3 linked regions of the Mus musculus genome follow. The main gene of each other region encodes a partner of the protein of the gene in region 2 in a complex. Links are inferred from orthologs where the notes say so. Each region holds a gene or a part of one and is shown on either strand. Other genes may lie near its edges. The genes, in order: Washc1, Washc4 and Washc3.

Evidence for each region.
Region 1: Washc4 (region 2) and Washc1 share a complex: the UniProt entries of both Homo sapiens proteins name them as parts of the WASH core complex. The link is inferred for Mus musculus from reciprocal best matches to the Homo sapiens genes WASHC4 and WASHC1.
Region 3: Washc4 (region 2) and Washc3 share a complex: the UniProt entries of both Homo sapiens proteins name them as parts of the WASH core complex. The link is inferred for Mus musculus from reciprocal best matches to the Homo sapiens genes WASHC4 and WASHC3.

Annotation. Positions count from the first base shown.
Region 1 is NC_000083.6:66,107,351-66,117,597, forward strand, and holds the start of Washc1 (WASH complex subunit 1), read left to right. Parts: upstream 1-4,195; 5' UTR 4,196-4,299; exon of another isoform or gene 4,300-4,551; intron 4,552-6,512; 5' UTR 6,513-6,517; coding exon 6,518-6,666; intron 6,667-8,320; coding exon 8,321-8,432; intron 8,433-8,603; coding exon 8,604-8,750; intron 8,751-8,909; coding exon 8,910-9,046; intron 9,047-9,278; coding exon 9,279-9,411; intron 9,412-9,622; coding exon 9,623-9,824; intron 9,825-9,913; coding exon 9,914-10,093; intron 10,094-10,247. UniProt on the Homo sapiens protein: Acts as a component of the WASH core complex that functions as a nucleation-promoting factor (NPF) at the surface of endosomes, where it recruits and activates the Arp2/3 complex to induce actin polymerization, playing a key role in the fission of tubules that serve as transport intermediates during endosome sorting.
Region 2 is NC_000076.6:83,551,073-83,561,219, reverse strand, and holds part of Washc4 (WASH complex subunit 4), read right to left. Parts: intron 6,487-10,147; coding exon 6,404-6,486; intron 5,648-6,403; coding exon 5,605-5,647; intron 5,220-5,604; exon of another isoform or gene 5,208-5,219; coding exon 5,104-5,207; intron 4,418-5,103; coding exon 4,297-4,417; intron 2,623-4,296; coding exon 2,499-2,622; intron 2,403-2,498; coding exon 2,275-2,402; intron 855-2,274; coding exon 694-854; intron 680-693; exon of another isoform or gene 1-679. UniProt on the Homo sapiens protein: Acts as a component of the WASH core complex that functions as a nucleation-promoting factor (NPF) at the surface of endosomes, where it recruits and activates the Arp2/3 complex to induce actin polymerization, playing a key role in the fission of tubules that serve as transport intermediates during endosome sorting.
Region 3 is NC_000076.6:88,197,647-88,207,808, forward strand, and holds the start of Washc3 (WASH complex subunit 3), read left to right. Parts: upstream 1-3,450; 5' UTR 3,451-3,595; coding exon 3,596-3,646; intron 3,647-4,165; coding exon 4,166-4,264; intron 4,265-10,162. UniProt on the Homo sapiens protein: Acts as a component of the WASH core complex that functions as a nucleation-promoting factor (NPF) at the surface of endosomes, where it recruits and activates the Arp2/3 complex to induce actin polymerization, playing a key role in the fission of tubules that serve as transport intermediates during endosome sorting.

The sequences.
Region 1 (10,247 bases), on a different chromosome or scaffold from region 2:
TCCCATCTTCTCTCTTTCCCTCCCCCTCCCCTTCTCCCTCTCCCTCTCCCTCTCCCTCTCCCTCTCCCTCGCTCTCTGAGACAGTTTCTCTTTGTAGCCCTGGCTATCTTGAAACTTGATATGTAGACCAGGCTGTCATGAACCATCATGTCCAACTCTCCCTCCATCTCTATATAGATTCCAGGGATTGAACTTGTTTTACCAGGTTTGCGCAGGCTTTCTCTGTGTAGCCCTGGCTGTCGTGGAACTTAATCCACAAGACCAGGCTGGCCTCGAATTCAGAGATCCATCCATCTGCCTGTCTCCCAAGAGCTGGGACTAAAGCCGAGAGCCCGTGCACCACCCCACTCCTGTGCCGCCCTCTTTGCAGGCTGCTCATTTAATCCCTATCAAATGGATCGTAGTAAATGAGGAAAATGGGTCAAAGCATTAAGTAACTTAGCTAGACTCTCCCAGTGTAGACGCAAATGAAGTCTGATAGTTTCTAAGCTTATGCCCTCACTCTTTCTACCAGTGCTGGTGTCTGGCGGTGCTAATGGGGGAACAGATTGGGCTTCTTGGAGGAACCCTTGAGCTGAGCTACTGTAGCCTCAGCCCTGCCATTCCTTCAAAATGTACATTGAAGCTGGATGTTGCTGTTGCGTAAGCCTTGGTTGGCCCCACTCTCGAAGGCAGGCTTATGCTAAGGGCTTGGCTTTAGAATTCTGGAGAGCCTGAAGAACAAAAATGCTGGTCAGAGTCTTCAAGGAAAGCGAAAGGCAGATAAAGACCAAAAACGGCCAATTTTCAGAGGAGACACCAGGGACAAACAGAGGAGGAAGCAGGTGGCTGGTGGCAGAGAACACGTTCAACAGAACAGCGGCTGATGTCAGACTGAAGCCACATTGGGGCGAAGTAGAGCTGACCCTGAGAAGAGACACCTCCACCAAGGCAACTCTTATAAAAGAAAACATTAAACTAGGGATGTCTTACAGGTTCAGAAGTTTAGCTCATTACCATTACAAAACGAGAAGCATGGTGACAGGGTAGGCAGATGTGGTGCTGAAAAGGGGGCAGAGAGTTCAACATCTGTACAGCAGGCAGCAGCAGGAGACTGAGACACACTTCCTTTATCAAGGCCACAATTCCCAGTAGGGCTACTCCCTATGAAGTGGAGTCTATGGGGGGCATTTTTATTCAAACCACCACAGGCTCCTTTAAAGCGGTGCTCCTCAACTCAATTTTGCAAACTATCATCTGAATTGGTCATATCTCCTCAACTGTGATACAAAGATCAAGCTGACCATGCTGTTTGAAGTCCCTGAGAAGCTAGCTCTGAATGCAGGATTGTCCCTCCAACCTTGTGGGAAAGGTGAGGCAGAACAGCCAAAACAAGTCAAGAGTAAAAATACTGTGTCCATGTGTCTTAGTTAGGGTTCTACTGCTGTGAACAGCCACCATGACCAAGGCAACTCTTATAAAAACCAACATTTAATTGGGGCTGGCTTACAGGCTCAAAGACTCAATTCAGTATTGTCAAGGTGGGAGCATGGCCGCATCCAGGCAGGCATGGAGGAGCTGAGAGTTCTACATCTTCATCTGAAGGCTGCTGGCAGAATATTCCCTTCCAGGCAGTTAGGATGAGAGTCTTTTTGTTTGTTTGTCTTGGTTTGGTTTGGTTTGGTTTGGTTTGGTTTTTTGAGACAGGGTTTTTCTGTGTAGCCCTCGCTGTCCTGGAACTCACTTTGTAGACCAGGCTGGCCTCGAACTCAGAAATCTGCCTGCCTCTGCCTCCCAAGTGCTGGAGGATAAGAGTCTTAAAGCCCAAGCCCACAGTGACACACCTAATCCAACAGGGCCACACCCTCTAATAGTGCCACTCCCTGGGCAGAGCATATACAGACCATCACACCTTGAAAACAGAACGGAGAACAACACATGTCCAGCATCTTCTTCCAGTTGTCTCAGATACTTTTTGCCGATCACGGCCCCCAGTTGCTTATCTGCTGTTCTAATATTTTTCTGCTACCTGTTAAACTCGCTCATTTAAAAGCTAAGGCAGGGCTAGCATGGCTTATTCGTCAGATGGAATGATCTGCTGAGATTCAGGTGCCTAACGTGAGTTGCCCCATATGCCCAGGTGATTGGTCTCCACGCCTGGGTGCACACACTTCCCATCCCCTTATCAAAACAGCAGATGGTAGGCTTACTTGGCTCCTCCTAAAGAGTGGGTTTGGATTGGAAAAGAAAAGTCCATGCCTGATTGTCACAGGATAGCCTACTGGCAGGAACACCATTTTGCAATCAGAGAGGAGAGCTGAGAGAAGCCTGTTTGCTTCCTTGGGGATGACAGGAAGAACAGCCCTGGGATGTGTTCCCATTGGTTAACCCAGGACAGAATGCCTTCAATGTCACCATCGAAACTGCTGTAATGGTACCCAAAGTAACAACAGCCGTACCCAGTTTTGACACCCGTATAAACTAGTCTCCATGACTTTCTGGCTAGGGAACAACAGCCTGGGAACACACATCTCCCAGAAAAACGCCAAAACGTCTTGGCGTGTGCACGTGCACGTGTGTTACCAGACTATTAATTTAAAAACCTAAATATAGCTCGGTGTGGAGGTACAAACTTTTAAAATCCCAGGACTTGGGGAAGAGAGGCCAGTGGAGTTCTGTGAGCTTGAGGCTAGCCTGGTCTACTTAGCCAGTTCCAGGACAGCCAGGGCTATATAGTATGATTGTTTCAAAAAAAAAAAACAACCAAACTTTAAACCTTTTGAACATGGAGCCGGAGGAAAGCAAAGGAGAATGTCACCACCATTGGGGAAGCATGTCACCACCATTAGGGAAACATTTCACCATCATTAGGGAGGCTAGCTTGTCGATCGTTGAGATCCTAAACCAACCCATTCCCACAGTGGGATGAAGGTGTGCCGGGCACAACAACAGCATTGGCTCCGGGTGAGGGCACTGAAGGCTGTGCACCCACCCAGTCCTTCATCATCTCTCTGACCTCAGATGGTAAAGACTGATGCAGGAGGACTGCCCCAGACCCCACGAGAGGACAGGACAACTTTGTATGATTATTCCCTATCACATTGTTACCAACCCTGCTTGCAAGAGCTTTCTGCCTTCCAGAAGACTCCCCAGCTGCCAAAGAGGGAGCCCCTCCCTCCCCCACAAGCACATAGCTCACAACTTCCCCACGGCACATTGCTTTCAACATTAGATGGCCACAACACTAACTGACAGAGACCCTGCATAACCTGGCAATATGTAGGATCCTGGACATGCCCACTGTGTCTTCCTGTATGTGGTGTGTGTGTGTGTGTGTGTGTGTGTGTGTGTGTAAGGGTATCCAAAGAAGACAGAAGGGAGCACTGGATCATGCTGAAGCTGGAGTTACAGGTGACTGAGTAGATCAAAGTGGGTGTTGCAACCTATCTTGGATCCCCTGCGCCAGTAGTTAGTACTCTTAACTTCTGAGCTCTTTTTCCAGGTCCTGTACACATACATCTTTAAAATCATTTCCTGGTTGCTATGGCAATCTTTGCAGGCCTAGTGCTGCTCCCAGCTGTTTTTTGGCCGTGGGGTGGGGTGGATTTCTGTCAGCAATTCTTATGTGGCTGCTGACCGACTAAGAGCTCATCAGCTGTGGGCTGTCTGTGGCTTCTTTGGCCCTACGGCTTTGGCTTGCTGCCGGTAAGAAGGCTGTCTGAAAACTAGAATAAGGGATGCGGTAGTAGGGGAGACTCATCTGCCCCCAACACTCTCAAAACACACACACACACACACACACACACACACACACAGACTGTCCATCTACAGCACTGCTTTCTCATTCCTAGTAAGCAATATTCCAGTTTGTTTCTACGCAGAACTTGTGTACTCCAGGTCAAATCATACCGTATCTGATCGCTTCTACGTTGATTTTTTTTTTTTTTTTTAAGTTGGAGACTAAGGGACTTTACCTTTAGAGGTAAACACAGGAAAGGTAGGATCTTCTAAAAGATTAATTAAGCCACTGAAGTATGCATGGCTGGAACAGAGCGGGCGTTTGGAGAACTTCCACTTGATGTCCTATATAGTGCATATGTAGTGTGAGGGTTTCTTGGAGCCGGTAACAGGAGAGACCTGAATCTCCCAGACAGGAAAGGTTAAGCACAGAGTGTGGGGCGGCTTCCTGGTCTAGGCCCCGCCCACCAGCAGCCCGGAGAGCCGGAAGTCGGAGAGCCGAGCTTACAGTGGTGGACGCTAGGACCTGGGAGTGCGGGTCACCGGGGGGCGGGGACGCTCACGTGAGGACGCCGCCTTGGGGTAAGTGTGCAGGGTGGGCGAGGGGCGGACTGGGAGCGCAGGACCGGGAGGAGGCCGCGACCCTGCCGCCCACCGGCTGGAGGCGAGTGAGGGCTCCCGGGCGGGACGGGCCCGGACGGACCGGGAAGGCGATGTAGGGATCCGGCCTGCCGCTCCTCCCACACCCTGCAGCTCCGGCTGCAGAGAAGAGGCCCCGTGGCTTCCTGAAGATTAGGGGGAGCAGGGCGTGGGAGGACAACTTGCACGGTGCGGGTGGGTTGTGCTGAGCACTTTCGAAATTACGAATTACACTGGTGACACGCACATATGGGGGGGGGGGGTTGGTGATCTGGGTTAAGCACCGATCACTTAGAAACATTTCACTTATGCTAAACAACAAGCACGGTCTCTGTCAACATAGATACTTGACAGGCATGTGTGTGTGTAAGAATGTATAAGAGAGGAATGTTTATGTATTCATGGCATGCATGACAAGTGAAAAATAAACAGAAACGATTGGAGGCCAAGGTAGAACTGTAGTCATTTGCTGGAGGGAGGAATTATTTTTGTCTCAGAACAAAACTCACGACTTACAGTAAATTACGTTTACTTCTGAGCTATTTATTATTTCCCCCCACAAGTAGAGTGGCCTTCAATCCATTTTAGATGGTTTGGAAAATTCCCCTTGTGGGCAGGACCGAAAACAGGCATCTACCCACTCCTTACAGGGCCCCAAATGACAACCCAAAGTACAAGTCCATCAAAGGGGTTCCTTGGGGGAACCCCTGAGTTTACTGGGTTTACTTGCAGAATGCGGGGTTCCCAGAGCAGCAGAATCACCAGAAAATCCCCCTGCATAGATGATGAGTCCCCCTTACTAGTATGGACACTGAGGTTACTAGGTGTTGTGCACTTAGGGCAGAATTATTGTATATAACGGGCAGAAGGTGCAGAGGGGAGGGGCAGAACATGACCCACACCATGAAAGGATGTCAGTAGTCCACAGGCCTATCTTGAACTTCACTTTGGAAGTGACACTTGTCCCAGTGGAGATGGTTAGTGCTCAGAGTGTCCTGCACGGTGACACTCCAGACTTTTCCAGTGAGAGCCATCAACGTCTTTGCAATAGCGATGCCTAGTTCCAGAGTTTATTGTGAACATGAGCAACGATGCTGTATGAAGCTGGGGCTCAGGGCAGAATCTCTTGTCTTTCTCTTCACATCAGGACCCCCTGAGTAAACACAGGGCAGGGTATCAAGCAAGATGTCTGTCAGTTAGGGGACACACACACACACACAGATCTTAAAATGGTTTGCATTTTTGTGTATGAAATGACCAAACATACTGATTGATAACAATTTTGAATTAGATAATTGATTCGCAGCCAGTATGACGCACAAGGTAAGTATTTTACTGTTGAAAATGTTGTTTGGCCAAATTTCCTGAATTAAAATTGGGAGCACTGATAAATTCACAGACACTGCGAGAAGGAAGATGGTAGTTGAAATGAGGTGGACTGACAGACTTGCTCTGTAGGTATGTAGCTGTTATTAGCTAGTGAAAAGAATAGTTAGTTACAAATAGTAATTAGTGTTAGTAGTGGCGATATAGTATATTTTACACTGGAAAATAAGTTGAATAAAGATAAAACAATGTCACCATTAATTTTGATTCTTTTTTTTTTCTAAAGATTTACTTATTTTATTTATATGAGTACACTGTAGCTGCCTTCAGACACACCAGAAGAGGGTATCAGATCCCATTACAGATGGTTGTGAGCCACCATGTCGTGGCTGGGAATTGAACTCAGGACCTCTGGAAGAGCAGTCAGTGCTTTTAACTGATGAGCCACCTCTCCAGTCCCCTAATTTTGATTCTTACACCAGAGCTCATTCTAGGATATGCCTTGCCTAAAAAGAGTAATGGAGACTTTTCTACAAAAAATTTTATTTAATTATTGTGTGTGTGTTTGTGTGTACAACATATATATGTTGTGCAGATACGTGTGTGTCTTGTCAACTATATGAGGGTCAGAGGACAGCTTTTTGAAGTGGGTTCTCTCTACCTATCACGTCGGTAGTTTCTCATCTAGTGCGGGCTGGTCTTGAACTGTCTGTATCAGAAGATGGCCTTGAACAACAAGCTTGCTTCTGTCTCTTCAGGTGCTAGTATGGCTGATAGGCAGAGGGGTGAGTGTGGGGCTGTGTTCTTGACGTCTTGGTTCCTTCTCACAGGCATCATGACACCGGTGAAGACCCAGTGCTCCTTGGCGGGCCAGCTTTATGCAGTGCCCCTCATCCAGCCCGACCTGCGACGAGAGGAGGCAATCCAGCAAGTGGCAGATGCCCTGCAGTACCTACAGAACATCTCTGGAGACATCTTCAGCAGGTGGGACCCGCTACGACGCTGACCTGAGAGAGGGCCACCCCTTTTCTAAGTGGGATTCTCTGCAGCCCTCTGTACCTTCTGCAAACTACTTCTTTAATGACCCAACTAATGCCCAGTGTGGGAAGGGTATAAGGGAAAAGACCAGCCTGAGAGTTCACCACCTCCTCACTGTGAAATGGAGCCCCTTGGGATTCCTGCGGGCCTGTGGGTGGCAGTGGCATTTCCAGACTCTTCCCCACCAGATCTCGTCCTTCACCGACTCAGTGCTAGGTGCACAGGGCCCTGTGCTTCGGTCTAGCTGTAGATCCGAGAGTGGCGGTGTTGCTCTTCAGCTAGAGCATAACTCTGACTGGGCCGAGAGAGGCCTAAGAACTGTTGTGCCTTCCTTAACTCCAGCTGTGTGCTGAGGAGTGAATCACTCGATGGCTTTGTCCCTGTGGGGAAAAGATAGCGTGCCCCACAGATGCAGGTGGTCTGGTCCTCCACGGCAGGTGTCTCCTGATGTTCCCAAGACACACACAGTGAAAGTGAGATGGATGGAACCGCTGCTGCATTGACCCAGTAACAGCAGACTTCTATAAGCAGGGGGAATATGCTGTAAGATAATGGTAGCCGTTACACTCCAGTAAAGACAAGCCAGCGAATCTCATTCATTATCATTACTAAGTGTGTCCTACATAATTGTATGTGCTGTGCTATATGCTACTGGCCAAACGGGAGGTGGGGTGGGGGGTGGGGTGGGACTTTTCCCTTTGCCCTTTCTCTATGTAGGGAACCCATGTCCTCAGATACCTGCACAAGAATGTGACCTGTCCCCCAGAGCTACGGAGTCAGAATCGATGTCCATGGGGAGCTAGGCAGGGTCCGTGACTATGTGGATATTCTGACCAGCACAGCCCCAGCCGGTTCCTCCTCCTGCTCTCTTCCACCCTTCTTCCTGCCTCTTCCTTCCTTTTCTCTTGCTTCATTCCCTCTCTCTTGGTTACTTCCTTACCCTCTCCCTTGTCTCTACTTCCTCCCTGCTTCTCCTTCTCCCTGAGTGGTACCTGGCGAAGACAGGGTTCCAAGAGGAGTCAGCCTTAATAAGTCTTGTCTGAGTTATTAGCAGGTTACAGAGCTGTCAGAGAGTGGAGGACATTCATCAGCGCCAGCACACTCTAGGGGGTTGCTACAGTGCGGAGAGGCACCAGTTATCTCTGTGGGGGGAGCTGAGAACAAATGGGCTGAGGGTTGACAGTGAAGTGGTCCATCAGTCTCATGGTAGATGCCTGGTCAGTGAAGCCCTGCAGAGGTTGGGTCTACCTGGCTTCATGGGGAATGTGGGTCCTGTTCAGAGACGCAGTACAGGGGACCTAGAAACTCTCCTGGCCATCTCTTTATTCCCCTGAAGAGCCTTGGTAGAAATGTCATACTCAGAGGACCTCTGACCTCTTGTCCTTTGTGGTGCTTACTTTCCCTGTTGCTATGATAAAATAACCTGTGGGCAGACAGAGGTCACGTGAACAACAGCACTAAGACCAGCCAGATAGGCAGGCTATATTGCATTGAGCACTTACGGCAGGGCTTGGCAAAGCTCAGGCATGATGTTGGCACAGGTGTACAGGGGCCACAGGACCTGAAGCCAACCTCAATCTCTACATTTCTCCTTTGGTAGGATCTCCCGACGAGTAGAGCTGAGTCGGCGCCAGCTGCAGGCCATTAGTGAGAGGGTCTCCTTGGCCCAGGCTAAGATAGAGAAGATCAAGGGCAGTAAGAAGGCCATCAAGGTAGGCCATGACTTCTGTGCTCTGTGGCTGGCGCATTGATCTTCCTATACGCCTGCGGTTCAGCCACACCTCACTTTCCTCCCGTCCACGGCCACCCCACTTTTAGTGCCCGTCTATATGATCTCTAAGGTGTCTTGAATATTTTGGGCCCCAGAGTTCCTGTACCCACAGGTCTTTTCTAGTGCCAAGTACCCAGCACCAGAGCACCTGCAGGAATACGGCTCCATCTTTACTGGCGCCTTGGACCCTGGTCTGCAGAGAAGACCCCGTTACAGGATCCAGAGCAAGCACCGCCCACTGGATGAGCGGGCTCTGCAGGTCTGAAAGCTACCAGCATGTTCCTCTGGATGCCATGGGTGCTGGGAGGCAGGGAATGAAGGCTGACCACAGATTTCGTTCCCTATAAGGATTATGGTCAGGATGGTGCTCGGTCACTAAGCATAGGACTGACACTCATCCACTCTGATCCTGCCTCAGGAGAAGCTGAAATACTTTCCCGTGTGTGTGAACACCAAGTCGGAGCCTGAGGATGAAGCTGAGGAGGGACTTGGGGGTCTTCCCAGCAACATCAGCTCCATCAGCTCCCTGCTGCTCTTCAACACCACAGAGAATCTGTACGGCCAGGAGATAGCTAGCGGGAAGAGGGGAGGGACGGAGGGAGGGAGGGGAACCCTGCTTAAGTAGCTTCGGGGACCTGAGCCTGATGCAGTCCTCAGGACTTGCTTGGGCTTCTATGAGTGGATATCCAAAGGATGAAATGTTTCCCCAGTGCAGTAGGAGGGGTGGTCGGGAACCTCCCTGGACCCGGGACAGGGGATAGCCTCCCGATCCTAGCCCACTCCACAGGTATAAGAAGTATGTTTTCCTGGACCCTCTGGCTGGTGCAGTAACAAAAACGCACACGATGCTGGGCACAGAGGAGGAGAAATTGTTCGATGCCCCTCTGTCTATCAGCAAGAGAGAGCAGCTGGAGCGGCAGGTAGGTGTGGGGGTGCCAGACAGAACAGCTGGAGCGGCAGGTGGGTGTGGGGGTACCTAGGCAGGCTAGTGGTCCTATTCCACGGAGGGCTCTACTAAGCTTCTGTCTACCCAGCTTTGTGGGTCCATGTGTGCTGCCTGCCCCACGGTCTCAGTGTGGGCCCCGTGCTCCAGCAGAGCCATCCCATTTCCTGTACCACCTGTCCCTGCAGGCTCCAGAAAACTACTTCTACGTGCCAGACCTGGGCCAGGTTCCTGAGATCGACGTGCCATCCTACCTACCCGATTTACCCGGCGTCGCAGACGACCTGATGTACAGTGCGGATTTGGGCCCTGGCATTGCCCCGTCTGCTCCTGGTGCTATCCCAGAGTTGCCTGCCTTCCACACAGAGGTGGCAGAACCTCTCCAGCCAGGTAAGCCAGGTTCCAGAGGATGGAACTGAGCCAGGCAGTCCCTGCTGAGTTCTTCCTCAACCCACACTGCATTCTCATTTTCCTCATAGAGCTAGAGAATGAAGTACTGTTGGCAGCACCGCCCCCGCCTCCTCCCCCACCGCCGCCACCTCCCCCAGCTCCCACAGCATTGGTCAGTACCCCACAGCCACCGATGTTCCCTGACATGGCAACTGCTGCTGGCCAGGTTGCCAGGGAAGAAGACTCTAGCAGCAGCATGGCCCACACAGGTAGGCAGTGCAGATGGGGTGCCCATGACTGGCTCTCATTAGAACCCCCAGCTTTCTCTTGCCTTGGTCCCCGAAGAGTTCTCTGTAGGTCACATGTTCCTGGGTCTGGGATCGACAGAGTTCTCAGTCTGGTTGTCTTATGGGGTTGATACAG
Region 2 (10,147 bases):
ATGGGGCGGGGGCCATGACTCAATGCTACAATCTTTTGTCCAAAGCCTGCTCCATTTCCAAAGGTCCACACTGCTGGCAACTATGTTGTCCTTACCTGTCACTGTCCCTTCAAAGTCTAGTAAAGGCCTTCTAGGTAGAGCCGCAGAGGTCAAATCTGCTCCCTTCTGAATCTGAACGCCACACACATTCAGAGACACCACCACATTTCCCTCAGATGTCTCTAATGGCTTGCTTCCCAGTCCTCTAATATCACCATCCAGCTCTTCTCAGGACGTTACAGTTTGGGTTCTCTCTAGCAACACACACACACAACAATCAGATGACACACACACTACACACACCAAACACACATACACACACAAAATAGTTTTGAGTTTTAAGAAAGAAAGCAAAGTTCTTGAAAAATCAATCTGGGGACTGGAGAGATGCTTAGAACTAGAATTTGCCATGCATGCAGACCTAAGGCCCAGGATCTGGATCCGAGCAGCACACGGTGGGAAAGAGCCAGCTCCTGCAAGCTGTCTTCTTTCACACGCACACCCAGATACACTAAGTCAGTTAGTACAGAAATGTGAAAGACAATCAATACAGAAACTGTAAATATTGTCTGTTATTACGTAGTATCTTGTGATTCAAGTACTTTCTGTATCAAATATCTAAACACTTTTTTACAGTTGTTTTATAAAACTTACTTGTTAAGTGACTGAGCTTTCTGCTGTAGGAAGGTATCCCTGTGTATTTTAATGGCTTGAAGACTTTTTCTGTCTAGAAGTTTGGCAGCTGCTGGCATTTTATGAATCAGAAAATTATCAGGAAACCAAATAATATTAGCAGTTAAAGTGATGGCTGGCACCTGAAGGGAAGGAAAAGAAAGCAGACCCAATGATGCTGTGCTGAAGAGTGCTACAGCACACAGGGAAGGCAGCTCAGAAAACACAGTTACCAAAGTCTCAATGTGTTACAGTGTGTCTTCCCCTCACACTTATTGTAGAAAGAACAAAAGCATTCCCAATGGGTGGTGAGCACAGCAACTTTATTCTGCCTAAATATTAACACACACACACACACAGACATACACACAACAGATTTCACAATAATTAATAATATATAAAAAGCATGATGAAATTCAACCTTTCATAACATTACTGCCAGGGCATATTAATAAAATACTAGAAAAAAAATAACCTTAAACATAGCCAAGGCCTTATTGCTGTTATTATTTGATAGTACTAGACACAAACTAAGTTTCAATTCTGAAACTGGGTGTCCTATCATGGAAATAGCGAAGATGAAAATAACAATTTAATGAGGGCAAAGGGGACAGCCAAAGGAAGGAGGAGGCAAGGCCATGGTAACAGTACTGACAGGATGTTAACATGTCAGGGCATGGGTGCACTCCTGCAATGCCAGCACTCAGGAAGTTGTGGCAGAAGGATGGCTGAGACTGAGGCCAGACTGCACTGCACAGCAAGACCCTGTCTCAGAAAGAAAGCAAAGTTAATGTGCACACACACACTAAGTACACTCACCATATATATATGTGTGTGTGTATGTATGTATATATACATATATATATATATACATATATATGTATATATATGTATATATATATATATATATATATATATATATATATATGTGTGTGTGTGTGTGTGTATGTGTGTATGTATATGTGTGTGTATGTATGTATGTATGTGTATATATCTATATATATCTTGATATGAAACAGTTATTTTCGTTTATTGTATTTGCTCATTTCAAGGGTGTTTGTACTTTAAAACAATGCTACCACTGCTTTTATTTTTGCATGTGAATGTGTATTGTGTGCATGTATGCCTTCTCATGTGTGCGGGTACACACGTGTGCACACGTGTGCACTGAAACCTATGGTTGATATTAGGCGTCTTCCTCCATTTTCCTCCACTGTATTCATCCAGAGGCCTCTGACCCATGATAGGTAGTATCAGAAGTTAGAAGATATACCAGCACTGCTGGAAGTAAAGGCGGGCTGCCATGCTCGCACGGCATTACCTAAGTCCTGGAGGGAGGCTGGTTCCCAGTCCTCACGACAGACGGACGACAAGCACTAATCCTCCATGACCCACACACCTCCCCAGCTCTATTTTCTTTCTGACACAGTTACACTTCATAAAAAGTAAATTATTCTTTTTTTAACTTATTCTTTTTTAAATAAACTTTTATGTTAGCCCTTTTAAATATCTACCTTTATTAAAATTTACATTGCAAACTGAAAATAAGTTTCAAGTTCTTACCTTCTTACAAATGTCCAATAAAGACTTATAAAACTTTTTATCAACAGTCCGAAAAATCTGAAAGTGCAGTACAAAGAGCCCACAAATTCCAACATACTTGTCTCTCTGGTCAATTTCAGAAGGCTCACCTGATAAAGGAACACCACAGAAATACAACAGATAATAGATGACTTCTTAAGGAAATGTAAACTTGATAAATTAGTCAAAGAAGAAATTTATATTACCAAGCTTGGCTTCCACATTTGCAAAAATTGAGCGAATGCTATGTGCAAACTCTTCTGCAAACGTGCTATTTTTCGACACAGATATTCCTCCATTGAGAGAATCAAACTGCTGTTCGATACAGGCCTACACAGGAAACATTTGAACAGAAACTCAGACTCTCAGTAACAAGCTATCAACACCTTGGTGAGGTGAAACACTTCTGTAGTGGTTTTTACTATCAAATGTAGCTCTCGTGTCCTTTGATGGGATATGTGCATGTACTTATATGAGTGCCAGTTATAAGGCACTCACACCCCAAATGAAGAGACAGAATAAAGCTCAGAGATGAATGGAAGGAACCACGGCTGACACACTGGAAAGGAGGGTTTTGACTTTTTTGTTTTGTTTTGTTTTGTTTTTTGAGAAAGGGTCCATGTAGCCCATTATATAGACCAGGATGACTTCAAACTCAGAGATCTGCCTCCCAAATGCTGGGACTAACATTGTGTGCCACCTCTCCCAGCTGAAATCATTTTTAAAATTTTACGTGTTTGAGTGTTTTGCCGACATGTATGTCTCTGCACCATAGGCATGCACTGCCTACAGAGGCCAGAGAGGGTGCCAGATACCTTGAACCTGGAGTTGCTGATAGTTGTGAACCACCATGTAGGTACTAGGAATCAAACCCAGGTCCTCTTCAAGCCAGCACTCCTAACTGCTGAGTCATCTCTCCACATGCAACATCTTGTTCAGAGTGCCACCCTTTGGAGGTAGGTGTGTGTGTGTGCGTGCACAGGATCTCACTCTGTAGCCCAGACCATCCTCATATTTATGATAATCCTGTTAGACTTTTCCAATGCTAGGAGATAACAGGCACAGTCACTGCCCAGCTCCTCACATACTGCATGTGTAGAAATGTCCCAGGAAAAAAAAGAGCTAAAATAACTACATTTTGCATCTAAGGGATTACTAATTTTTATATCTAAGAGAGAAACTGATTTTAAAAAGAAAGAGCTGGAGCCAATCTGTCAAAACTGTGATAATATAAAAACAAAAGTCACACGAAGCAGACAGAGTAGACGGAATGGGATTTCTGGCAGCACTGTGAGGGTCTATCCATAGAATGAGGAGTAGTATGTTTTTACCTGGTTCCAGTACATTTTCATTTAGAAGGCACCCTATCTGTGTACATCCAAATCACACCCACTGGTGCAGGAAGAACTAACTAAGCTTTTCTATTGTTTGCTTTGGGTTCTGAGTTGTTCCTTTACACGGTTAGGAAGGACCCTGAGCATGCCAAGGAAGCGAGTGCTCTACCACTCAGCTACATCCCCAGCCCTTCAGACTTTTTAAAGGCAATCTTAAAAACCTAAATCTAGAAGCTAATAACAGACAATATTTAATGCAAATGATGCCTAGACTTTGAAACCCTTAGATTTTTGCCTTTGTTTTCTCTTGAGATGGGGTCTCCTATGCATCTCAGGGTGACCTAGAATTCACTTTGTACCAGAAGCTGGCCTTAGTTTTGCACAGCCTCCTGTGTGATGGGATTAGAAGGGCATACATCACCATGCCTGATTCGATTTTATATTTTTGCACAGTTTAATTTTTAAAGCCTTCATTTTAAGTAACTTTTTATTTTATTTATTACTATATATTGAGTTATGCTTTAATATACTAATAGTGGCTTTTTTAAAAAGCCAAAGCACTTTCTAAGGAAAAGAAATTCAAAAGTATTCTACAAAAGTGTCCTACTGTAGTTCTGATCTGCACAACCTCTAAGAACTCATATGCTGACCCTGATACAGCTCTACTTACCTGAAATATCATTCCATCAAGTAACTGCCCTTCCAGCTTCAGCAAGAACTTCTCAAAGGGCTTTAACTTTTCTTCCTGAATCCCAAATTTTGAAGGGTTGTGATGGACAGATTTCAGCAACCTTGTAGAAGATTTAAAGAAAGATCTTACATCTACCTAACAAATTCTTAAAAGTTAAAAATATCCCAGGAAAAAAATGTGTATGTGTTATTCTTACCCGGCTCTTCACACGGAAAATGTAAACAGAGCAACCCTAGTAAAATGTTTATCCTCTCTTTACCCCCTTACGTTCAATTGCCTGTTGCTCTGCATATACCAAACATCTAGTTACTATTTGTATGTAAACTGAATAGAAATGTAAAAGACTGTTCCAGCATTTTTAATAAATGTGTGGCACAAACCTTCACTTGAACAGAGTTCAGTGCAAAGAACAAATTATAACCATACTGCAACAGTTTGAGAACAAAAACCTACTACAAATGTGGCTGACTGCTCATGAAAACACTGGACAGGGCCAGAGAAATACTTGAGTGCTTACAGAGGAAACCTGAGTCTGGTGACTTACAACAGCCTATGACTCTGGTTCCAGGGCATCCAATCCCCTCTTACCCATGTACAGACACACATGAAACAGGGAGACATAAACACATATACATACACATAAAAGTAAATATTGGGCATGATTCTTTTTCAGTATAGAGCTCTAGGTCTTTTAAAGAATCAGAATTAGTATTCTAATTTTTACTACTAAAACTATCACATGAGCCGTACAAAGTAAAACAACTAAAAACATTTTGGTTGGCATACCTTTTGTACATAGTCCAGTGGTCTTTCAGCGTGACATGATTATCAACAATCTCATCCAGGGTAAGTAAAACTGTTAGCAGTTCTCCCAAGTGCTCATACATAGTCTGTCAAAAAACCTTTAATGATTATCATTTAGTCACTAGTTAGAAGTCTCATGTGAACTTTTAAAGAAAAACACATTGGGTTAATTATTAAATTAGTGAAAGGAGGGATCAATTGGTTTATTAAGATTCAGGTCTTACCCTCAAATGTACCACTAGCCTAAATCGAGTATATTTTGCCTAATATTTTCTCCATAATTGTGATGCTAAAGATTTGTTTGTTGACCACAGAAAACCTGCAGTGGAGCACTACTGGGGAAAAGTACAAGTGCCAGATCATAGCAAGTGATGGCTCATCAACTAGACAGACAACAGGGACAGAGACAGGGGTGGCATGCTAGCATTAGTATATGTCCTAATTGGTCAAATACCTAAGAAAAGTAGAAAAATTAACTCTTACCTGAAAATGAACTCCAGTTGTCTCTATAATTTTGGGTCCTATCCTATAATAAAATAACATCCAAGTTTAAATACAGGCTCTTAGAACTGTAGCATGTATTTGTCGTAAACTTGCAGGCACAAGCCAGAGCAGAGCCTGGGCTACCCTTGCTTGCTGTGCCATCATGGGTTAAAAACCTGACAACGGGCAGATGAGTAATCTTGCTTTTTAAACTTAAAGAATGTGCCTTGGCATCAAAGTAGAAGGAAAAACTTAATCAACTATTGGAATTTCTCGATTATCAACTACAATCTCTTACTCTATCAAAACTGGTGCTTGAGAAAAGACCCTTAAGCACATGTCAGACTCGTTCTTCAGTTCTCACTCTTACTGAGAAGCAAGGCATCAAACTTCTAGGGCTATACTACAATAATAAGCCACATTTCGTTCAACTTTATGTCCTATTTACGAAAAGTCACATAACTTTATGAAACAGCAGAGAACCACTAATGTACACAGGGGAAAACAAACACACACGAGTGGTTAATTCTGCATCAGCTCTTTTCTATGGTGAAAGGTCTTTAAAACTCTTTTGCCAATATTCTCATTCAGACAAAATCAGGTTCATAAACTTGGTGAGAACAAAATCTCAATTATCTGTAAGCACACACCTTAAAAAAGGAACACAACCTCCAGCAGTGTCTGAACATCCTAAGCATGTATACTGAGTACACAAATAATAAGTTGTTTCTATTAACTATTTTTCCAGAAAGTCCTTACTGCTATTTTATAAAAGCAGCCTAACCCTACGGCGCATTACTTGTTGCTGATGTACAGGGCAGCCAGCTGGTGGATGACATTCATCACCACTTCGTAGCACCTCGTCACAAAGCAGGACAGTTCCTGAAATGACATGGTGAGTACGCGTTACAAGACTGCTTTGTCAGTGTCGGGATATTTAGACTGGATGCTGTAACACAACCAAAGCTCTAGCTATCCAGCAGCCAGAGCTCAGAATCCCTCAAGCAATCAACACTTCTCTCCCCTCCTGCAGGCCAGGTCATTCCTCCCTCTGCTGCTCCTGCATTTCATGATTTCACCATTTTCTGAGTCTACTGTTTCAGTCACTCATGCAGCTCCTAAATGGCAGGGCCAATCATCCCTTCCCTGTAAGTGAATGAAGATCTGAAGAGTGACAATGACTGCCAGCCTACAAGTGTCACAAGGACAGAAAGCAATCTCCACAAGTCACTCTAAATCACTTCCCTTGTCATCTTTTGTTGTGTTTTTTTTTTTCAAAACAGGGTTTCTTTGTATAGCCATGGCTGTCCTAGAACTCACTCTGTAGACCAGGCTAGCCTCAAACTCAAAGTTCTACCTGCCTCTACCTGCCCTCTTCTGGTAAATCTGAGGACAGCTACAGTGTACTACTAATATACAGACAATAAATAATTCTTTAAAGAAATACATATATATATATAGCTTGGCACATACAAGTGCATATCACTTATCCCAAGAATATTTATCAATTATTATTAACTCAGATCTACCATACCTAGACTTTCTGACAATGTTTTTTAAAGCTCTCAACTTTTAGCCTTATAAAACAAATTTCCATCTAAAATACTTAAAACCTTATTAAACCTTCATCTATTCTAAACTGTAAGCCTTGAACAATAATATTCATTGCTTTTTTATGTGTTGGTCTCCCCCACCAACAAGAGCAGTTTGCAATACACACACACACTCTCTCTTACTTCATGGAATACATTAGATAATGTCTGGACAGTGAACTTTTTACACAGCTATTAGTGAGACCTAAACACAACTTAAAGTCTTTGAACTTTAAAGAGTTTTTTCGTACAGGTTTTTGCTATATAGGCCAGACTAGTCTTGAACTCATGATCCTAACTCATCCTTGTGCTGCAATACAGGCATTTTGAATGTGCTACCTAACAGCCTGTAATTTCAAACAGCTTGTTTTACATTTGTTATTAAACTTTCTGAAGGTTAAATGGTAACAGGAAGATAAAAAACAGAAAGCATGACAAAAAAGCAGAAATCAGTGCAGATACAGAAAGATTCCATGAGACAGAAACAGAAAAAAAAAATCAATTAAAAGATTGTCAGATGATTAAAAAAAAAAAACAGAATCCAGATCCAGCCATTTGCTCCTTTCCTTCAGATACCTGAGGAGCACCACTAGCTCCAGGCGCTGTTTTAAAGACACTGTGTTCTTGGACAATCAACACATAAGGCACTCTTACACACATACTGTGGCACCACACTGCTGTACAGAACATGACTACCTGAGGTCTTAAAGGAATGCAAGGAAAGGGACAACACTGAAAATATGAAAGAGTGGGCAAAGATACATTGAGAAAGCAAGCTGAAACACAGATACAGTAGCCATGTTACTGCCAGACAGAGAACACAGCAAGACAGTGCTAGCCTGTATAAGCTAAACACCCTGGTCTAAATGCTCCAGACCAGAAGTACTGCGGACTGCAGAGTTTTCTCCATTCAAGAGTATCTGCACATAGGTGATAAGATATCTTAGCCAGGGAATAGAAACAAATCTAAGCACAAAACTCATTTATACATATAGTCCATAAGTAATTATTACCTTGGGTTACAGAATTCTCCATTGGTGATGTTTTATTAGTGTTCAAACAATTTTAGGTCTTGTAGCATTCCACACTAGTGATTCTCAATCTATGTATATAATAGCCATTTGTACATAATTATGTATTATATACATAGTATCATAGCTTCATATCATCAAAGCTTTTGCCAATACAAGCAAAATAAGGGTCTCTGTGACATGGTGGGCATGCTAACTTGTCTTACTGCAGTGACCTTCTTACTGTCTAAATGTATTCCACTGTGAGTTACGTATGTAAATATATATCAATACCATTTACTTTTCTGTAAAAGGGGATATCTCACATAGGTAATTTGGTACAGAGAAGCTGAAGGCTAAATGAACCAAACATAAAGGCAAGCCAGAGGAAGCAGACTCCACCCCTACACCGAGGAACAGACAGGAAAAGGTCATGTCTGCTAGACTCTGGGAGCTTGGATCAGTAGCCCCTAGAGGATTACGGCACAATGGCCAAGAGCTCAATTTATTATACATACCGAATACAGTATCACCAACAGAAACACATATTTAATAAAAATTCACACTCACTGACTCTTCAAACCGCATTTCTGCAGCAGCCTTCCTATGGCAGCAGACTTGCTGTCAGGTCCTGACAATGTGACAGGAAAGCAGCAAAGGCTGTCCTTCCCAGTCTTTCCCTGTTTCCATCAGATAATCTACTAGTTCACCCCCACAGAGGCAGCTCACAACAGAGAGCTGGACCGCTTCTTTCAGCACTCTCAACCTAACCCAAACTGCTTTTCAGAGGTAGCTGCATCCGACCAGAGCCATGTCCTCAGAGGTGTGAGTGCTAGCTAGTTACATGCAGATTATCTCCCTAAGCTGCCAGACTTGATCTCACAAACATAACCATTTTTCTTCTGTTCCTAGATGAGGAAATGTGACCTGCTTCTTCCATAAGTCTTCACTATTTTGTTCTTCCAGCTTTCCCATTCCTGTGTGATCAACCGTGTGTGTGTGTGTGTGTGTGTGTGTCTGTGTGTGTGTCTGTGTGTGTGTCTGTGCTTGCGTGCACATGCAGTTTATAATAGCAGCAAAGATAATTCAAAAAAGTCTAGTTTCTTTCTCAAGCATGTGTGTATGTGTGTGCCTATATATGTGTGTGTATGCACCTGTGTGTGCAGGTGCCCATGGAGACCATAGACATTGGATCCCTAGATTCATCTAAGTTCCACGTAGCTATGAGCCCCCAGTAAGGGTGCAAGTAACTGAACTGGGGTCCTCTGCAAAAACAGTACATACTCATAACCAATGAGCCACCTCTACCACACAAAAACAAAATTTTTAAAAATTTTATTTTACTTTTATGTGTATGGGTCTTGTTTGCATATATGCCTGTATACCAAAAGAGTGCCTAGTACCCAAGCCAGAAGAGAGTGCTGGGTGAATCTCTTGGAAATCGAGTTATAGACAGTTGTGAGCCACCATGAGGGTGGTCAGTTCTGGGAATTAAACCCCAGTCCTCTGGGAGAGAAGCAAGTGTTCTTAGTAACTGAGCCATTTCATTTCTCCGTCTCCACAAAAATCATCTTTACATTTAAAAAAGATTATAAACTATCCATAAATGAAATTATACAAGTTACATACAAAGGATAATATATTAAAACAATTTCTGAATTGTTCAGGTCTCCTGATACCTTATTCCCCAAAAATTCCTCATAGATCATTTACGAGTTATGATCTCCTACACTGTAACCTCATGCTAAGTAAATGGTTCACTCTCAGAAGACACAAGACCTCAGAAATTGAGGGTTCCAGAGCCTATAAATTATGTGTAATTTTGATGAAAAAATTTTAAAAGCTCAGCCATGAATAGTGGTACAAACCTTTAATCCCAGAATGTGAAGAAGCTGAGGCCAGGTGAATCTTTTACAAGTTTGAGGCCAGCCTAGTCTACAA
Region 3 (10,162 bases), about 4.6 Mb from region 2:
GGACTTCCACTCACCAAGGCTGACCTGGCTACAGCTGCTGCTGAATGCCAGATCTGCCAACAGCAGAGACTAACACTGAGCCCCAGACATGGCACCATTCATCAAGGTGACCAGCCAGCAACCTGGGGTCAGGTAGGTCACTTCCTCTGTGGAAAGGATAACATTTTGCTCTTGCTGGAATAGATACTTTTTCTAGTTAAGGATTTGCCTTTCCTGCACATAATGCCTCTGCCAAAATCACCATCTGTGGACTGACAGAATGCCTTATCCGTCATCATGGTATTCCACACAGTATTGCCTCTGACCAAAGAACTCATTTCACAGCCAGAGAAGTGTGACGGCGAGCCCACAATTATAGAATCCACTGATCTTACCATGTTCCACATCATGAAGTAGCTGGTCTGATAGAAAGATGGAATGGCCTTTTGAAGACACGGTTACAGCGCCAATTATGTAGCAGCAGCAACTATGAGGGCTGAGGCAGAATTCTTCAGAAGGCAGTATATGCTTTGAATCAGCGTCTGATATTTGGTACAGTTTCCCCCATAGTCAGGATCCATGGGTTCAGGAATCAAGGGGTGGAAAAGGGAATAGTTCCACTCACTATCACTCCTAGTGACCCTCTAGGAAAATTTTTGCTTCCTGTCCCCACAACTCTGTGTTCTGCTGGCCTAAAAATTTTTGTTTCGGAGTGGGGAGTGCTTTGTACCAGGAGCCACAGCAAACATTACATTGAACTGGGAGCTGGGACTTTCCACTGGTCATTTTGGGCTTCTAATGCCCAACAGGCTAAGAAAGGAATAACAGTGTTAGGAGGGGTGATAGATCCAGATTACCTTGGAGAAATTGGATCACCTCTCCACAATGGAGGTAAGAGGGATTATGTCTGGAGTGCAGGAGATCCCATAGGTTTTCTCTTAGTTCTACCATGTCCTGTGACTAAAGTCAATGGCAAACAAAAACAGCCTAATCCAAGCTGGATGACAAAGGACACAGACCCATCAGAAATGAAGGTATGGGTCACTCCTCCAAGAAAAGAGCCAAGACCTGCTGAGGTCCTTGCCGAGGGTAAAGGAAATACAGAATGGGTAGTAAAGAAAGGTAGTTATAAATACCATCTAAGGCCACATAACCAGTTGCAGAAACAAGGATTATAAAGTAATATGAATTCTTCTGTTTTATTCTGTTAAGAACATATTTGTGTAGTTATTTGTGCTTTCTTCCAATTTATTTAATATCAATTGATATTTACGTTGAGATACTAAAATAACGTTCCCAAGGGACATTTCCCCATTGTAAATTTACAAATGCGTTTGCAATTTTACAAGGAATAGTTATATTATGTTATGCATATTCGTGATCTTGTTATTGTTTCATGGGGACATGAGATATTATTTATGTCAAGTGACAAGGGGTGGATTATAATGGCTATTCCTGGTTGCCAACTTGACTATATCTGGAATGAACTACCATCTGGAATCGGAAGGCTCACCTGTGACCCAGATCTTGAGGCTGGGAGATACAAATTTCTGACTTGGATCTTGGCATGGAGATCTTGAGGCAGAGTGGCTATGAATCCTAGGAGACTAAGGCAAGAAGATCTCTGAGTTCAAGGTCAGCCTGGGACAAAGCAAGTCCCAGATTCAGGAGTGGTGGTATGTAGAGACTGTGGCTCTAGAGAACCCTGAGTAATACAATGTGCATATATAATTTTAATGGAACTGCCCTATTTCATGGCAACAATGCCCCTGCTAGATACTGCAGGCTAACAAAAAGCCTAGAACTAGGAATGGATTACCTCTTTTAGAGCTTTTGGTCAGTGAAGTCCCATAGACCCTGACAGTAAAAGCATTGCTGCAGGTAACACAATGAAGGCCTAGAAACAATCAATGAAGAAGGTGGCTATGCTAGCCACACAGCTTTCCAGGGAGTGGCATTTTAGAATGCAAGTATTCACGTTTATCCAAAAGAGATCCTGATTTGGCTTGTCTAAGGCTAACCTCTGGAGTGGGCATTTTTTGTTTGTTTGTTTGTTTGTTTGTTTTTTTGTTTTTGTTTTTTTTTTGTTTTTTTGTTTTTTGAGACAGGGTTTCTCTGTATAGCCCTGGCTGTCCTGGAATTCACTTTGTAGACCAGCCTGGCCTCGAACTCAGAAATCCACCTGTCTCTGCCTCCCAAGTGCTGGGATTAAAGGCGTGCGCCACCACGCCCGGCCCTGGAGTGGGCGTTTTAAGAAGCACTCCCAAACAGAAGCTCACGAATCCCATTCAGAAAAACATGACTCTTCTTCTGCCATAAAAGGCCCTTCGTCAGCTTTTGTGTCTACTTCTGCCTTGTTTCATTATTCTCCACTTCTGGGCATTTCTACTTACACCACCAAACAATCTTTCCTTTGCCTTAAACGCCATATGCCCTCATGTCTCTGTACCTTTGTTTGGACAAAGGTTTATTCCAGATTGTCATCTTAACTGCTCTTAATGTTAAGTAGATACTAAAGTCGGCTTCCTCTTCTTGTACAACTTAGAAGCTCCTATTATCCACAGAACCGCACACTTTGCATGTGGTGTGCATGTACTCGTGGATCTACAAGTGTTTGTACATGCTAATTTGCAATGCCACAACTTTCACAGGAGTTTGTTTGCACGTCCATCTAACTTTTGCACATCAAAATTCTGCATGTCCTCCCTTTGACTAGTGTAGCAGAGGAGATCCTGTCACTTCTTCAGTACTTGTTTTGGTACAATAAAAAGGTTTACTTTTGCTTAGGTGACCTGCCCTAACTCACATCGCTGGTAAAATGTGCAGCCAAACTCTGAACCAAAATCTTCATACTGTAGGTGTAAGATCGTTTACATGACGTAAGTGCAGTCACTTTCACAGCTGTGTGTCTCAGTTGTTGCTTGAAATTATGTTATGTCAAAACAAACAAACAAACACCCTTAGAAACGGATCTCCAGTGCATGAGGCTTGCCAGGGCTGAAGACAAGTTCTGACAGACTTCTCTAGACTTCACAAGGGCTAACAGAGTATCTGGCACTTAGTAGGATTACACAAAAAGAGAAGTGCTCTTCAGTGAATTATGGATCTTTTTTTTGTTTGTTTGTTTTGTAACAGGACTAAGCAATTAAAATCTCAAAACGGATACAGCTCAGCTTCTAACTTTCCCAGTCTGACCTCATCCCAACCCTGCGTCTGTCTCCCTGTTTCTGTCTGTCTGAATCTGTCTCTTTCTGTTTCTCTTTCTCTATTTCTCTCTCCGTCTCTTTCCCTCACTCCACCACTCCCACCCACCCACCCCCTTTTCTTTTTCAGATTTTTTCAGATTTTACAGCTAAAACAGCAACTGTGAAACCTGCTCATCAGCAGCTTTTCCCCGGCCCAATTTTACAATCGGAATCATGAACTACCAATCCCAGAATGCTGAGCGAGAGCGAGGGGGCGGGGCGGCCTCTCTGAAGCCACCCATTGAATGGTGAACACTCGCGCTTTCTTCCGGAAAGGCCCCGAAGGCAGGAACTTGGGAAAGGAGTCTGGGCTCTCTACTGGGCTGGGAGGAGCTTGTGCCTGAGCCCCGGGGTCCCCATCCGCTGAGGAGATGGATGAGGATGGGCTTCCTCTCATGGGGTCAGGCATAGACCTGACCAAGGTTTGTAAAAGACCGACTTGAGCGTCCGACAAACAGGGAAGGAGGCTTGGCCAAGGGGCCCTGGTTCCCAGGGAGACGCCACCTCTCCAGGCCCAATCCGGGCCCCTGTTTTCCTACTCTGGGCAATGGGGGGAGCCCTGCAGTCCACTTTGAAAGGGGTCCCTCCTGGGCTAAGAAAAGAATTGGTGTGCCACGCAGCCTTTGCTCCCCACATCACGTGTCTCTACGCCCGAGGTTGACAGTCTGGAGATAGTACCACCTCTGACACTTCACCTCTTATTCGACTCTCTAGCTGCTCGTGTGTGTGTGTGTGTGTGTGTGTGTGTGTGTGTGTGTGTGTGTGTGTTTGACTCACACAAGATTCAGAAAAACAAATCAGCGACTCTTCTTAGCCCTTCGTGAACCACATGTCCCAGGGCAAAGACCATCCATCCCCCTCTATGAAATCCAGATATCCAAAGGATTGCAGAGAGTGTGTTTCTCCTGTAAGAATCGTGTTTGCTTTTTTACATGACACAGGTGCCAGCTATTCAACAGAAAAGAACCGTGGCCTTTCTAAACCAGTTTGTGGTGCACACTGTGCAGTTTCTCAACCGGTTTTCCGCAGTTTGTGAGGAGGTAGGTCCCGGGCTACTACTTCATGGAGCGGCCGAGAAGTCGCCTTCCGTCTTTCGTGGTGACAAATGTAGTCAAATGAAGTCAAACAAGAATTACAGCCTTCGTGTGTTCACTTTGCCATGAAATTCAAATGTCTTAAGGCCTTAGCATCTCTGATTCTGTCCCCATAAGTCCTGTGCGCTGTCTCAACTGAATTAGTATTCTAGAAGCTTCCATGAGATAGCTCAGCCAAGTTTGTTGTAATTATAACAAAGGGAATTCCAGAATTTCACAGTGGAATTTTTTTTTTATTTGAAAGGTTTTGTTTCATCTTCCTATTCTAGAGATTACATTTTAAATGTATGTTCGAGTTTATATCGAATTGCTTTCCATCCTTTGTGCCAAAAAGGATTCATGGAGGCAGCCTAGAGATACATGTTTCAAAAAATACTTTTCTGCAAATAACTGGATACATCATGAAGTGATAATTAAGTACATAGATAAGAATTAGGTGCCAGGTCCAGGAACCTCTCCTGAGCTTGCAAAAAGTTTTGTTTTTTGTTTATTTTAGAGGAAAATGGGGAATATATATTGAAACTGAATTTAAGAAAGGAAATAACAAATTAGAAACCTATAGACAAGTCACAGCCGGATCGATTTAATATCCTGTTTTCTTATATTGTCATATGTGAGGCTTATCGTTGAGAAAACGGTGATTGCTGAATGTGTGGCTGTTCATCGGAATTGCCCAGAGACAGGAAGCTTCTGGTTTGAGTACAGTTTGATCTGTTTATGATGGGTTGTGATTAAGGCCTTGAACATGCTCCGCACATGCACTCTGCCCCGACACCCCCAGCCCGGCCGTGGTCTTTCTTTCTTTATCAGATTTCCTTCAGCTTTTCCACTGAGACAAATGAAAGTAAAACATGTGCTGATGCAGTAAGGAGCCCAGTTCTGCGTGCCTTGTGTTTGAACAGCCCCAAGACTGGTGCTTGCTCCTAGGCCTCACTTCTTCTCTTCTCTTTTTGGTTTATGAGAACATTTAAGATGTACTTATTTTATGATATGTGTGTGAGTGTTTTGATTGCATGTATGTCTGATGCCTATGGAGGTCGGAAGAATGCTGAAGGCTACCTAGAACTGTACTTATGGACACTTATGAGCCTCGCTGTGGGTGCAGGCACTCAGTCCTGGGTCCTTTGCCCAAGTGCTCTCAGCTGCAGAGCCGTCTGCCCTGTCGGTATTTCTCTCACACAGTTGCTTCTCTAAATAGGATAAGGAACCCACTGAGTAAAGGGGTTTTTTACCTTTCCATTCTTATATGAATTCTTTTACCCTTTTTATGCTAGGTTAGAGTATATAAAGACTGAGCTTCTAGCAGAAGAAAGCAGATATTCATTTTCTATGGTTGTGCGCTTGCCCTTTTTGAGGTAAATAAAACTAGCAAATGAGTAGAAAAGCCATTTGCTGTAAGCTGCTTTGGGGTGAGGATAACCCCTTGTCTTTGTAGTCCCCTCAGTTTCCGCTGTCTGCTTATTGACGACCAGGATCAAAGATGGCAGGTGTCACCTCACTGAGCACTAATGCAGCAGAGCCTTCAGAACCACACTTTCCCCTCAGCTCTCACACTCCTGACGTTCCCCACAATTGGTCCGTTTCTCCTAGTGTTTCCCTGAACTCCAGAGAAAAGTGGTGTTGGATAAAAAGCTCAGATCATACAAAGTTAGCCTACTCCCTTTCGCTCTTTTTTGTATTCATTTTGACAAGTAAAAATTACAAAGTCTTTCAGATGTAAAACGTGCTGTTTTGGTTCTTGTGCCCACTATAGAATATCTAAGCTCATGCGGGCTGCCTCACTTACTTTGCTATGTGTGGAAAGAATGAAAATTGTGGTGTTTTTGTTTGTTTTTTACTTGGTTTTTCAAGACAGGGTTTCTCTGTATAGCCCTGGCTGTCCTAGAACTAACTCACTTTGTAGACCAGGCTGGCCTCGAACTCAGAAATCCGCCTGCCTCTGCCTCCCGAGTGCTGGGATTAAAGGCGTGAGCCACCATTGCCCCACTGTGGTCTCATCATTCTTGATTGAGAGTGTCCTTTGTTGTTAGCGGCAGTCACTATAGTGTACAGTGAACCCAGTGAACTTTCTCTCCTGAGATTCCGTGCCTTTGAGCAATACCATTCCAGGCCCCTCACCTCTCCCATCCCCCCGCTGATCTTTTACTCTGTTCTTTGCTCTGTTTTTTGAGTTTGATTTTGGTTTTATAGTTTCAGGCCTTACGTGCGACTGTTCTGTCCATATTGAGTTGATTTTTGTGCATGGTGTGTAATAGCCTCTGATTTGTATTCTTTGGCTTATGTATATCCCACACCACTTATTGGAAAAACTGTCTTTTTTTTTTTTTTCCAATTGTGTGTTCTTGGCATGTCTGTGAAAATCAATGGATCATAAATGGTTGGCTTTATTTCGGGTACCCTATTCTGTTCCACAGCCTGTTTTGATCAGTACCATCCTGTTTTGGTCTGTATAGCTTTGCCGTCAGTCTTTGAAGTCCGACATTAGCAGAACTTAGAGTCATAGGAACAGGAAGCACAATTTCTTGTAGTGGGTCACTAGGTAGGGGCTGTAGTGAGTGGAGCCCTTCCCTTTTCCACCCCTTGATTCCTGGACTCATGAATCCTAGCTCTGGAAGAAACTGTACTAAGTATTAGGTGCTGATTCAAAGCATATACTACCTTCTAGAGAAGCCTGCCTCCATCTTCCAGTCAGCTACCACCTCACCGTTGCTGTCTCTGTCTTCAAAAGGCCATTCTACCCTTCTCTCAGGCCAGCTGCTTCAGGATGATAGAGACCATGGTAAGACCAGTTCCATGAGCCTGGACCCATGGCTGCACGTTTCTGGCTATGAAGTGAGTTCCTGGGTCAGAAGGATGCTGTGTGGAACACTGTGATGGTGGAGATGGCATTTCTGAGTCCACTAGTGGTAGTTTGGCAGAGACAATACCTGCAGAAATGGCAAATCCATGGCCAGAAGAAGTATCTATTCCAGTAACGACAAAGCAGTGAGCTCTCCAGGAAGAAAGAAGCCCAGTGAAGTAGCCCTTCCATCAGGTGACTGGCTGGTCACCCAGGGCAATGGTGCCTGCCAGGGCTTCGCTGTTGGTCTCCGGTACTCAGCAGCTGCTGGCACTCAGCAGCCGCTGTAACCAGGTCAGCCTTGGTGAACGACAGTCTCTGTTAGTGAGCCCTGTATAAGCTCCATCTCTGTGTGGTCATGTGATGCTTCTAGTTAGGCTTTTCGTTTAGATTTGCTGTTGATATTTGAGTCTGTATGGTGTGTGTGTGTGTGTGTATGTGTGTATATGTATGTGTGTGTGTGTGCATTCCTATATGAAACAATTTCTACTTTTGTAAGAAATAATGAAATTTTGATAGAGATTATGTTACATCTATAAACCATTTTCAGGTCATTTGTACATTTTAGCAATATTCTGCAAACCCATGAACACAGGATGTCTTTGCATTTATTTCTGTCTGATTTCTCTGATGTCTTATAGCATTTGGTATACAGATCTCACACCCTTTGTTCTGCATTGAGCTTAGATCCAGTGAGATGGATGTATTGAGAAGCTTAGGAGGTGGGCCTTGGATGTGGATCTGCAAGGAAAGACCTAGAGTCTGGTCTCTAAGAAGCCATCCTACATACCAAGTCTACAGAGACTGATTTGGAATTGTAGTTGGCCTTGAGCCTGAGTTTACAAAGTCAGGCTGTGGACCTGGCCAGTCCTGTACCCTCTGGGATGTATTGGAAACCTGAATCTGAGAGGGTAGATCCAGTCCACTCTGTATAATCTGGTGGTTGCATCTGCAGGGGTCTTCTGAGAGCCTTAGTTTGTGGGGGCTTTAGGGTCTGTTTAGGTTTTACCTGGATTCTGAGTCTGCGTAGCTAGCTCCGCGGACTAGCCACCACGTACAGTGCCTACATCCACAAGCTTGGTCTATAGTATGGGATAATGGGTGCTGGGCTGATTCTATGGGCCACATGTTTAGAGGGCTGGAACTTGGAGTTGTGGAAACTAACCAGGGACTGCATATATTGGCCTGAATCGTAGGTCTGGGAAGGTTGTTCTGGGCTGAGTCCATCAGAGCCTGAAGCTCTGTAGTCAGACTGGATAGTGAGACTGGAGGGAATGGCCCCACTGTGTTCGTGAATGTCATTCTGATGACTCAGAGACAGAGACATAAACCTGGAGCTTAAGTTGTGTGGTCTGCCTGGCTCTGGGCTGAATTAGAATGTAAGATAGACCTAGAACCTGCATTCCCAGAGGCTAGTTTAAAGGCTGAGTCTGGGCATCATGGCCCTATTGAGGGTGGAAACGGAGTCTATGAGGAGTATCCTGACCCTTGGGCTGTCTTGAATCTTGGGTTGATCTGGAGATTTAGACCAGTAGAGTTCACCTAGTGTCAAGTGGGCCAGGCATGAAGTCTGAAATTCTGAAATCTGAACAGATAATGAGTGGTACTAGCCATCTGGGGCCACTGGGGTTTGTCTAGTGCTAGATTTGCCTGGGGTGGTCCTTATGATGGGTTCTGAGGCAGAGGGTGGTTCTCGCTTCTTGGGGTGTTTCTTCTTTTTGGGGTTTGGTGAGAGGTAAGCCCAGAAATATGAATTGTCTACATCATACATAAATTACATCACACCACATACACACACACACACATACACACATACACACACCACTGCTCTTGTGGAAGTGTCTTTGTGTGTGGCTCTTTGATTAAATCAATGCCTTTGCTTGTACATGGGTACTAGAAAGTCCTAGGTCACCATCTTCCTGCTATCCAGCCTTTTGGTTTTATGTTTGATAATAGAATATATGATTCATTAATTACAGTTGATATTTTGGCAGTTTTTTTATACTTTTGTCAGTTGTAAGCTATATGCAGTTAGTGATACTAACTGAATTAGATGTGTTTAGCTGTCACAGCCCTTCCTTAAGGACAGGTCCAGGCATCTCTCTTTGGCGTGTCCACAAACTCAGATATGGGGGTTTGACCTGGTTTGTTCTCTGTTCATTCCACACTATTTGAGTCCCTGGGGTTTATCTCTAGCTGTGTGATACACTCTAACTGGCTGAGAGAAGCACAGAACCCAAAGAACCGAACTGAGATTCTAGCCCTTATCGAAGTGAAGAAACTAAAAAAGTCTCTCTATATTATAGTTCTGTGGCTCTGTATCTACTAAATGTAGTATCTTTGTGAATATGATAACTTTTGAAGATATTATAAATGTATCTCTAAGTTGCTTTCTGGAATCATTTTTTAATCTGTTCAGAGCCCCTGGGAAACCTCTCCTTGTTTGGCAAGCTTTAACAGAAACCAAAATGATCACTTTCCTAAAAGAAAAAAAGCATCAGCTATTGCTTTTTTACTTAGGAGTGAGCTGCAGGGAGAAAGACCCACCCAACCCACCCACCCAACCACCCACCCACCAACCAACACCCTGATCTGATCTAAATCTGGCATAAATGTAACCATTTCAGCCTCAACTGGGATTAAAATGGAAACAAACTGAGCTCCTTCATTATCTGTTATTTTGTTTCTTAGAATTCTCTGATAAAGAGAAGAGTTTAGGACTTCTTTTTTATTATTTTTTGTAAAGAACTCAACTTTCTTAAAACTCCATGCATACTAGGCTACTTTGTAAATAATTCTTCTTTGCCTGCTGAGAACCGAGGCCAGAGAAAGGAAGGAAGTTGAATCAGACCCAAGTTACAAAGTTTTTAGGGTCATCTCCTCTTCCTTCACAAATCCTCAGTAAACATTTTTGTTCTGTCCTAGTCAGCACAACTGTATGATGGCCCACTGTAGCTGGTCTTTGCTACTTTGTAGGTTCTTCTTTCTCCCACCCTTTCTCCCCC